Linked DNA regions of Coturnix japonica. The protein of the gene in region 1 purifies or fractionates together with the protein of each later gene. This does not show direct contact. Links are inferred from orthologs where the notes say so. Each region holds a gene or a part of one and is shown on either strand. Other genes may lie near its edges. The genes, in order: OSBPL9 and VAPA.

What was found.
Region 2: the proteins of OSBPL9 (region 1) and VAPA purify together in Homo sapiens (co-immunoprecipitation; 5 studies listed by BioGRID and IntAct, counting the BioPlex papers as one, with this or other methods). This does not show direct contact. The link is inferred for Coturnix japonica from reciprocal best matches to the Homo sapiens genes OSBPL9 and VAPA.

Annotation. Positions count from the first base shown.
Region 1 is NC_029523.1:21,539,590-21,544,136, forward strand, and holds the start of OSBPL9 (oxysterol-binding protein-related protein 9), read left to right. Parts: upstream 1-1,679; 5' UTR 1,680-1,711; coding exon 1,712-1,822; intron 1,823-2,294; exon of another isoform or gene 2,295-2,298; coding exon of another isoform or gene 2,299-2,313; intron 2,314-4,547. UniProt on the Homo sapiens protein: Interacts with OSBPL11 to function as lipid transfer proteins.
Region 2 is NC_029517.1:88,648,628-88,653,179, reverse strand, and holds the start of VAPA (vesicle-associated membrane protein-associated protein A), read left to right. Parts: upstream 1-1,622; 5' UTR 1,623-1,754; coding exon 1,755-1,830; intron 1,831-4,552. UniProt on the Homo sapiens protein: Endoplasmic reticulum (ER)-anchored protein that mediates the formation of contact sites between the ER and endosomes via interaction with FFAT motif-containing proteins such as STARD3 or WDR44.

The DNA.
Region 1 (4,547 bases):
CTGTCCCGGAGTGAGCTCTAGAGAGAACTCCGTGACAATGACTTAGTCGAGGCCTCCAAGAGAATGATGCTGGACAAAATTCAGAATGGATGGAGCATGGTGTCAAAGCAGCACAAGGTAACAACAGCTGCTGCCTTCAGCCTAGCTCTGCTGAACTCTGTGGTGTCCAGTCATGTGGGATGACAGCAAGATACAGACAGAACACTTTGGGGCAAACTAAATTAATCAATGAAGGAAGTAACTGGCTAACTTCTATTTCAAGTAGTTCATTGAAACTGATGGTGGTGATGATGTGATACAAAGGGTACATAAAGGCAAGTTATACCACAGCTGGGGCTACCCAGTGTATGATGGAGCTTAGCCATTTCGGCCTATGGCGTAACAAGGTAAACCGAAAGCCCTTCAGTTGAGTTTCCAATTGAGAACATTCAGCCCTTTCACAGTTAAGCCAAGCTCTTTGCATAGCTTCAACTTTTGTGGCACAATACTGCAAAAGTCATGATCTGAGATAAAGCTCCAACCCAAGTGAAGCTTTAAATGGTAGCGCTGGTAACGTTCTGGCACCATCTGATGTTTTTGTTTTAATCTCCAGGCAGCCCTGCTTTGTTGGGTCAGTGAAACTAAACACAGAGGACTGCTGAGGTCATAGGCAGCCTGGAAAGGACTTAGCAAAATGAGCAAGCTGGACTTCAAGATGGACTCAGGTATTAGCTAGATTCAACTGGTAACACCACGCATAAACACAGCACCAGGTGCATTCTAATGTCAAAACTACCAACTTGGCTTGGTAACAAACTAGTGAGCAATGTGATGTGTGAAATGGGAGGGTGTATTAGAAACATACAAAACAACATACAAAAAAAAAAATACAATGGAATCAGACACAGAGACTGCCTTGGACTGATTCTTCTTCACAACCAGGGAAACAACTGGGTCCATCCCTAGGGAGGAGCATGAGTAGCTCTATGTCAAGAGAGATGTTGTGCTGAAGTACAGCTGAAATTACATATTTATGCTCAAGTGGAGCCAAAGAACACGCCTTTAACAGGAGATTTACCATTGTTCACAGCTGCAGGGGAATGCATTCCACATCGCTGGAGCAGACAGAAGGAAAGCTGTGTGCTGTTCCCATGAGCGTTACCCTTAAGGTGACCCTGAAGCCAACGCGTGCCATTTTCACCTCACACCCTGGATGCTTTTATGCACACCAGTCGTGGCAGACCTGAACACATGGATTTGACGGGTCAGACCCAGAGGTGAAGTGAACTGTGAGACACGGGGACAAACACAACCAAAGGAAAGCTGACAGAACAGCCACCAACCACCACAGCATCAACCACCACAGCCACCAACCACCACAGCATCACGCCCTTCCCACACAGCCCTCGGTGACACCTCGCCCTCTGAGGCTCACCGGGAGCCCCACTGCGGACACTCACAAACCCAAGCTCCCCGTCCCCGTTCCCGCTGTGCTCCCAACACCCCCCATCACATCACACCACATCTATTAGCGGTTCCCCCCCCTTCTCCCCGCCCCACCATTACACTCCCGGTCCCGCTGCGCGCGCAGGCCCGTCCCCCGTCCCCGCCCCGCCCCGCCGTGTCCGCAGGCCCCGCCCCGTCCCCTCCCGGCCGCCGCCGTGTCTCTCCCCGTGTCTCTCCCCTCACCGCACGGGCAGTGCGCGCGGCGGTGCCGGTTTCGGTGCTTAAGATGGCGTCTATCATGGAGGGCCCGCTGAGCAAATGGACCAATGTGATGAAGGGCTGGCAGTACCGCTGGTTCGTGCTGGACTACAACGCCGGGCTCCTCTCCTACTACACGGTGAGGGGCAGCGGCGGGCAGGGCGGGCGGGGAGCCCAGAGCCGGGCTGAGGAGCAGGGTGGGGGCGGGGAGGGGACGCGGGGCGGTGTGAGCGCTCGGGCGGCCAATGGGGAAGGAGGAGGCGGCGGGAGCGGCCAATGGGGAAGGAGGAGGCGGCGGGAGCGGCCAATGGGGTGGCGCTGCGGGGAGATTTATGGGTGGGGGCGAGCGGCGCTGTTATTGTTGGTGTCCGGCGCGGGGGCGGGGCCGTTGGGCGGGAGCGGCCGTTGGCGCTGAGGGGGCGTTCGGTCCGTCCCGGCCCGTGGGTGCTCACACAGCACCGGCACCTCCTTGGCAGCGCCGTGTGCCCGCTTCGCTGGCTCAGCAGCAGGGAGCTGCCACTAAGACGTCGGCTTGACGTTTCCGTCGAGAACTTCCCGCTTTTGAACGCGAAGTTGTGTAAAACAGCAGTCACACGGTGTATTCCTTGTGTTAAAATGGCATTGTTACAGGTACTTCCACAGTACGGCTACGTGTAAAACTTATGCTCCCTCATTCTGAATGTCCATCTCTGTTAGGGCAAGGCTTAGTTCCACAGCTCCACGAGTTTATAATTCAGCATTATCCACTTAGAAAACCTAATTCAAAACTCCTGCTTTACCTGCATCTGGGATATGGTGGAGAAATAGAGCTACCTTTATAGCTTTTTAATGGCTGTTTGTATGGCAGCTGTTTGAGGTGAAGGTCCAAGGTGCAAAGTCTCCTCATGCTCAGCTGTAGAAATAGAAGCAGTCACTGATGACTGGTGGATGATGATTCTGGTTACTGCAGCGACTTTCTGACTGTGGTCTTCACCAGTTTAATGAATATCAGTTCTGAAATCTCATTACTTCCTATGGTTAGATATCCCTACATACACGTTGCACTTCAATATAACTTAGCATGTCTGTCATTCTAATGACTTTTAGTTCTCAGATTAAAACATTCTTTTTTTTAACCTACCTGCCCTAAAAGTTCTACTTAGGATCGGAAAATCAAACCACGCTCCCTGCTTTGTGCCACGGAGTCCTGCAGTTAAATGTTCCTACAGAACGCTTTCTGTATTGGTCTGCAAAGTACTTCAGTTTATAATGTCAGTTTCAAAGACTGTGTTGAATAAGCAATAATGACATTAGGAGTTTGGGAGCTTTGTGTAGGAAATGGCCATTCAGAGATTTTGCCTGTGTTTCTGTGTACGTCTGCTTGTATTTTGAAATAGAAGCTTACCTGTGTGATCAGGTACATGCAGCTGAACACAGTTTGCTCTGAGCCAGTTTCAGCTTGAAGCAATGCAGTCTTTGCGTGTAGGTGCAGCTGCGTGATTTTGAACCTGAAACCAGCCCTTCCTGATGTGTATAATGCATGGGTGGGGTATGTTGAGATTGTTTCCACTTGGCTGTGTAGGTGTGCACCTGGAAACGACTTGGCTGACAGGAGAGCTTACATTTAACTCATCTACTTTTACCTTCTCGTCACCTCTTACAGACCCCTTAGCCCATTTCAGTCCAAAAAGTACAAGCAGGAGCTTTCTCCAGCAGGTGCAAGAGGCAGCTGGACTTTGGCAGGGGAGCTGTGGAAAGCTGCAAGGCGTTCCTGTCTGATGCAGCTGAAGTTTTCACTAGAGAGGTACAGAAGAGCAGATCTGTTCCTTGGCGTGTCCTCACATGGCTGTATTTCATCTTCTTGTGTAATAGCGTAAAATAGGCTGCAGAAGAGTCCATGTGGAATGAGCATCTAAGCAGCTGCTGTACAGCAGTATTGCATCTAAATTAGTATGCCTTTTCTTTTGCTAACTTGAGTAGTTATTAACCTAAATATGTTTTGAATGCGTAGACGAGGAACAAATGAACTCAATTACATTTACATTCCTGACACGATAAAAGACTTCAGGGATCAAGGCAAAAGTTCTTACATCGTTTGCTCTTCTCTGCTTTCCTTTTCTGTAGTTTGCAGTTTGTGTTCATACATTTCTCATCAGTTCTCATCCTCAGATTTGCTTATAATTGTATCTGAGAGTTTATTTATGAGTGATATATTCCAGAGAGTAAAAGGCCTGGACTCCTATCCAACTATTGATCATCTTTACATGGTTTTGCTTAGATAAATGACTTGTCCAGCAGCAGTAAATGATTGTCGTTGTTTTGTTTTCATTTTAAGAAGAAACAAATATGAAATAAATGTATCCCATTTTGGATCAGTTTGGCCAATGGTTTGAGAGATTAACAGTGACATGCTTTGATTTGTGAATCCACCGTTTCTCTTAGAGGTGAAGCAAATACAAGGCTATGAAGCACCGTGCTGTTTGCAGGATGTAGCTGGAGGCACTGACAGTATTTAAAAGGAAAGCCTCCAAATAGATCATCTCTGCTGGCACAGGAGTTGTAAAGTTGTTCCTTAAGCTGGTTTACAGCTGAGAAACTTTCTGCTGATTTGTTTTTTTCAGTTGAGTTCATTCTGTGGTTTTCTTTCTGCACGTCAGTGTGAAAACATGTGTTGGCTTTGTGCTGGCAGAGACAAAGAAATCGCTATGGAGGAAAAGGGAGGTGAAAGCAATTTGCTTTTTGTTGTGTTTTCGGATAGCAGTGCTGTCTTAAATGCACAGCCCGAGCTGTGACTGCCCATGGGAATCCTGTAGAAATAATCCAGAGAGCCCCTTGAGGTTGAAAGTCTGATTTAAAATTCACGTTTCATCTGTATTCTGTAAATA
Region 2 (4,552 bases), on another chromosome or scaffold:
GACAAGTAACGTGGCACTTGGTTGCTTTTTCTGACAATCTTAATAACACCAAGGAATTGCAAAGCAAGCCATGATATTGTTTTATTGCAAGACACTTTCAAGTTCAGAGTTGGCGGAACCGAATAAACTACCTGAATAATAAACAGTGGAAAAGAGTATTATGAAACTGAGCCTACATTGATACTTCTCAGGCATAAAGAAAACTCATTTAATATTTAATAGCAAACAGCTCTGAAAAATGTCAGGCAGTCTCCAAACTGAGATACTATAACAACAATGATGCTGAATTCACAATGTGAATAAACATGAAGATCTACAAGCACACAGGACAAATGTTAAACTCACGTTAAGCAAATGTTAGCTGCCTGCAAGCAGTGATACAGATACTAGAGACACCTCCGGAATGACATACTAGGAGAGTGGTTAGGCCCTGGAACAGGCTGCCCAGGGAGGTTGTGGATGCCCCGTCCTTGGAGGTGTTCAAGGCCAGGTTGGACGGGGCCCTGGGCAACCTGATCTAGTAAATGTGTATGTTTGGTGGCCCTGCCAGGCAGGGGGGTTGGAACTACATGATCCTTGAGGTCCCTTCCAACCCGGGTCATTCTGTGATTCTGTGAATGACATCTCACTGCAATTGGTGAGAGGTTTTGCTACTGACTGCAACAGAGTCAAGACAGCCTATTTAAAAAGAGAAAGGAGAGAACCTCTGGAGGTATTTAGAGTTTTGCAGCAGCTCCTCGTATCTCACAGAATCACAGAATTGTAGGGGTTGGAAGGGACCTCTAGAGATCATGGAGTCCAACCCCCCTGCCAAAGCAGGTTCCCTACACCACGAAATTCTTTGAGAAAAAAAACTCAGAAATTCTTCAGGTATATAACTACCACATAATTCCGGGGCTGAATTATTGCTTCAGAGAAACACTGTGGAGTAATCTTTGGTGAGTCCACGAGAGAAGAAATTCCATCACCCACACTCCGATCTTGCATGAACTCACCCAGGCCTTTCACTTTTCACCCACTCTTACCCTCTCTCCGGCAGCTTCAATGACACCACACTGAGACGCCAGGCAGAGCACGACGCCACATCACCACACACCACCCCAACCTGGACTACAGAGCCCACCAGGCACCGAGAAACACTACAACCCCCAGCGGCGCATGCGTGTGCCCCGGTGGCGCAGTGGTAGCAATGCCGCGTTGCAACACTGGAGGCCCTGGGTTCGAATCCCCCCTGTGGCGCAAGTGGTAGAAGTGCCGCTCTGCTACACAGGGCTCGAATCCCGGGGGTTGGACTCAATGATCTCTCAGGTCCCTTCCAACCCGCACAACACTGTGATACTGTGTGATGCGCAGCGCTCCCACAGCCCGTTCCCGGAGCGTGGATCCGCTCCTTCCCGCTCGGCTCCGTCGCAGGGCTCCCGTCAGGGCCGGCGACCGGCGGTGGGGGAGCGAGCGAGCAAAGCGGGAGGGCGCATGCGCACAGCAGGCCCGGTCACTGCCGCCTCCGCCCTCGTGCCCGCGGAGTGGCGGCGTTGCCGGGGGCCGCCGGTGCGACGTGGGGAGCGAGCGGTGAGCAGCGAGCAGCGCCGGGCTAAAGAGCGGCTGCACCCGCCGCAAGGCGTAGGGAAAAGCGCTACCGCCGCCCGGGCTCCCCGTCCCGCCCCTCGTTCTCTTCCTCCTCCTCCTTCTCCTCCTCCTCCCCCTCCTCCTCCCACCCTCCCCCTCTCCTCCTCCCGCCGTAGCGAACGAGCGAGATGGCGGCCGCCGGGGCTCTGGCGAAGCACGAGCAGATTCTGGTGCTCGATCCGCCCACCGACCTTAAATTCAAAGGTGAGGGGCAGCGGGGCGCCGGGCGGCCGGGGCGGGGGGTGTCCCGCTTCCCTCGGCCGTCGCGAGGAGCCTCACCCCGTTCCGCGGGGCCGGGCCCTGCCCGCTCGGGTCCCTCGAGGAGGCCGCCGGCGCCGGGGTGGGGGGGTGCCGCCGAGGCGGGGAGCGGGCTCGGCCGCCGCCATCTTGCGATCCCGCGGCGGCTCCGGCGTGTCCGCGGCCCCGGCAGCGCCGCGGCCCGGCCCCCGGCGGGCACCGCGCCCGGTCTGCCCGCACAGCGGCTCCGGCCGCCCCCTGCCATGAGTGCCTACACGGGCGGCTCTGCTGTCAGCTCCGCCGGCGCTGAACGCTGCAGGTAGGGGCGGGAGGGAGGTCCCCGGGCTGAGGTGTTTTCGGGCATGTCACGTTTGTCGGGTGCGCCGCTGTCGGAAGGGGCTGCGGTCGGCGCTATTGGTGTATGGGGTGTTATCCCCTCCTCACCAATCACTCCATTCCCACAGCTATCCCAGCTGTGGCTCCTGCAGAGTGATTCTGGAAAGGTGTGTGTTAAAAAGAGCCAAACGCAACGGCAAAGCAAACGTGCTAGAATGAGATGTTGCTCATATGCTTAGCTTACATCTTTTGTAGCTGGTGTCAACACTCGTACTTGCATAATCCCGTAAGTGTTGGTGTTTGGTTTTTATTAGGCTCGTTTTTCATTGTTTAAGGGGCAATCGAGCATCCTGCCCTGTCAATTTAGAGAGCTGAACAAGCAGAGCAGGTTGATGTTCATATCAAAGACAAACACTATTTCCCCCAGATACTTTTGTCTGGTCCTGGCAATAAGACTGAAGTCTGCTTCATCAAAGGGGCTTTTCACAAGCTTTACCTGTTTTGGAGAGCCATCAAATCACTTAAAACAGAAAAAAAGGAAGAATTCTGTCGTGTCACGCATCTTAACTTCCTAATAGCTGCAGTTTTGAAATTGCACATCCAAAGGTACAACCAAAACCACAGTGGGAGCTTATGTATTATGTTAGAATATCTGCACCTGGGTTTCAATGCGCTGCACTCTTGCAGGAGCAGGTTGAAGCTCCTGCATCTTGTGTTGTCTTCAAGCTGGAAGCAAACCGTGTTTTTGTGTGGTTTGAAACGGTGTTGGTGACAGTGAATACAGCGAGTACTAGACGTAGAAATTGTCAGGATGAAGCTATTGTCAGACAGTGATCGGTGCTGTCATGTGTTTACAAAACACGTTTATTAGGCACGAAGTTTGGTTTCATGCTCATGCACATGGTAGGAAAATGTTGAGCAGATTGAGCGAACCTGAAGTCTGAAGTGTAATGGAACTGCAGTGGGACACCATGGCAAGTGCTCTCTAATACTGTATTATTACTGTAATACGCTACAGCAACACCTACCTATTTAAAGAGCAGCTGGTGCTTTCACAGAATCACAGAATTGTAGGGGTTGGAAGGGACCTCAAGAGATCATCAAGTCCAACCCCCCTGCCAAAGCAGGCTCCCTACACCACCTCACACAGGTAAATATTTTCCACCTGCTTATTGTTCTGAGGTCTTCAGAAAGGTCTGTGGGCCACAGGTAGTCATACAATTCTGAAGTGTTGAATGGAAGAGTTCACTATTGGCTGAAGAGAACAGCAAGTATTATCTTTTGAAACATAATTGGTTACTAAGAGAGTGCATGACTCAGAGTTTCTCAGCGTAACTTCGATGTAGGAAAATCATATGATCTCTTTTTTTTTTTTCAGTGTAGTTGGTTATTCAGAATTGTTTACTGGGATGGTTGTCCAATATTGGTATTATCGTCCTAATACTGTTGATGTCCGGCCATCAGAACAGAACAAATAGCTCCATAGGTTTTCTTGCCTCATTCAGTGACTTGTAGAGAATTTGCCGACCTTTAGGGTAGCAGTGAAATGTGTTAAAGTGCCCTTTTGCAAACAAGGACTTAAATTAAAGGGTTGGTAGAACTTATGTGAGGAACACTTGACAGCACTTAAAATTCATCAGCACTGTCTGATGAAGCTGTTGTTGGCTCATAGAGAAACTACGTGCTGAATTTGATTCCGCACCTTTCAAAAGGAGCCTATAAACTTGTCTCATCGTGGTTAACACGCTGTGTTTGCTTTGGTGTCAGAAAGATTAGAATCCCATTCTTGTAGTACCTGGCATTCCTAGGAATCCACTGATAGCGCGTTGGTGTTGGGCGATTCCCTCTGCTGCTGTGATAGCTGCGTTTCTTTGGGTTGTGGGGCCATCAGGGATGCCTAAGGGGAACCACGAGGCAAATGTATTTTGGAGCGTTGTGCAAATGTGTCAAGAGGAACAGAATTGTCTGTAGGTCTCGTTTAAGGAAGATTATCATCATTTGGAACTGGTTCCTTGTGAGTAAATACCTTGGTTTTTTTAGATCTATTTTAGCTGCTGAACAGTCATGTAGTGGAATGACGACGCTTGAAGTTTTCAAGTCCAAACTTTCTAGTTTTGTGATGGAAACTCAGCTGGTCTTCCTGAAATCAAAAGAGACAGTGATGTAATTGCAAGTTAACTCACATTTAGGTTGTTCTTAGAAAATGGTTCTTTTAAGAAAAAACATACTCCAGATTTTTACCCCAGACATAAGACCTGCTTTTGCGACATAGAATCATAGAATTAGCCTGGTTGGAAAAGACCTTGAAGATCATCAAGTCCAACCGCAGCCTAACCAGAACCCTAACTCTAAC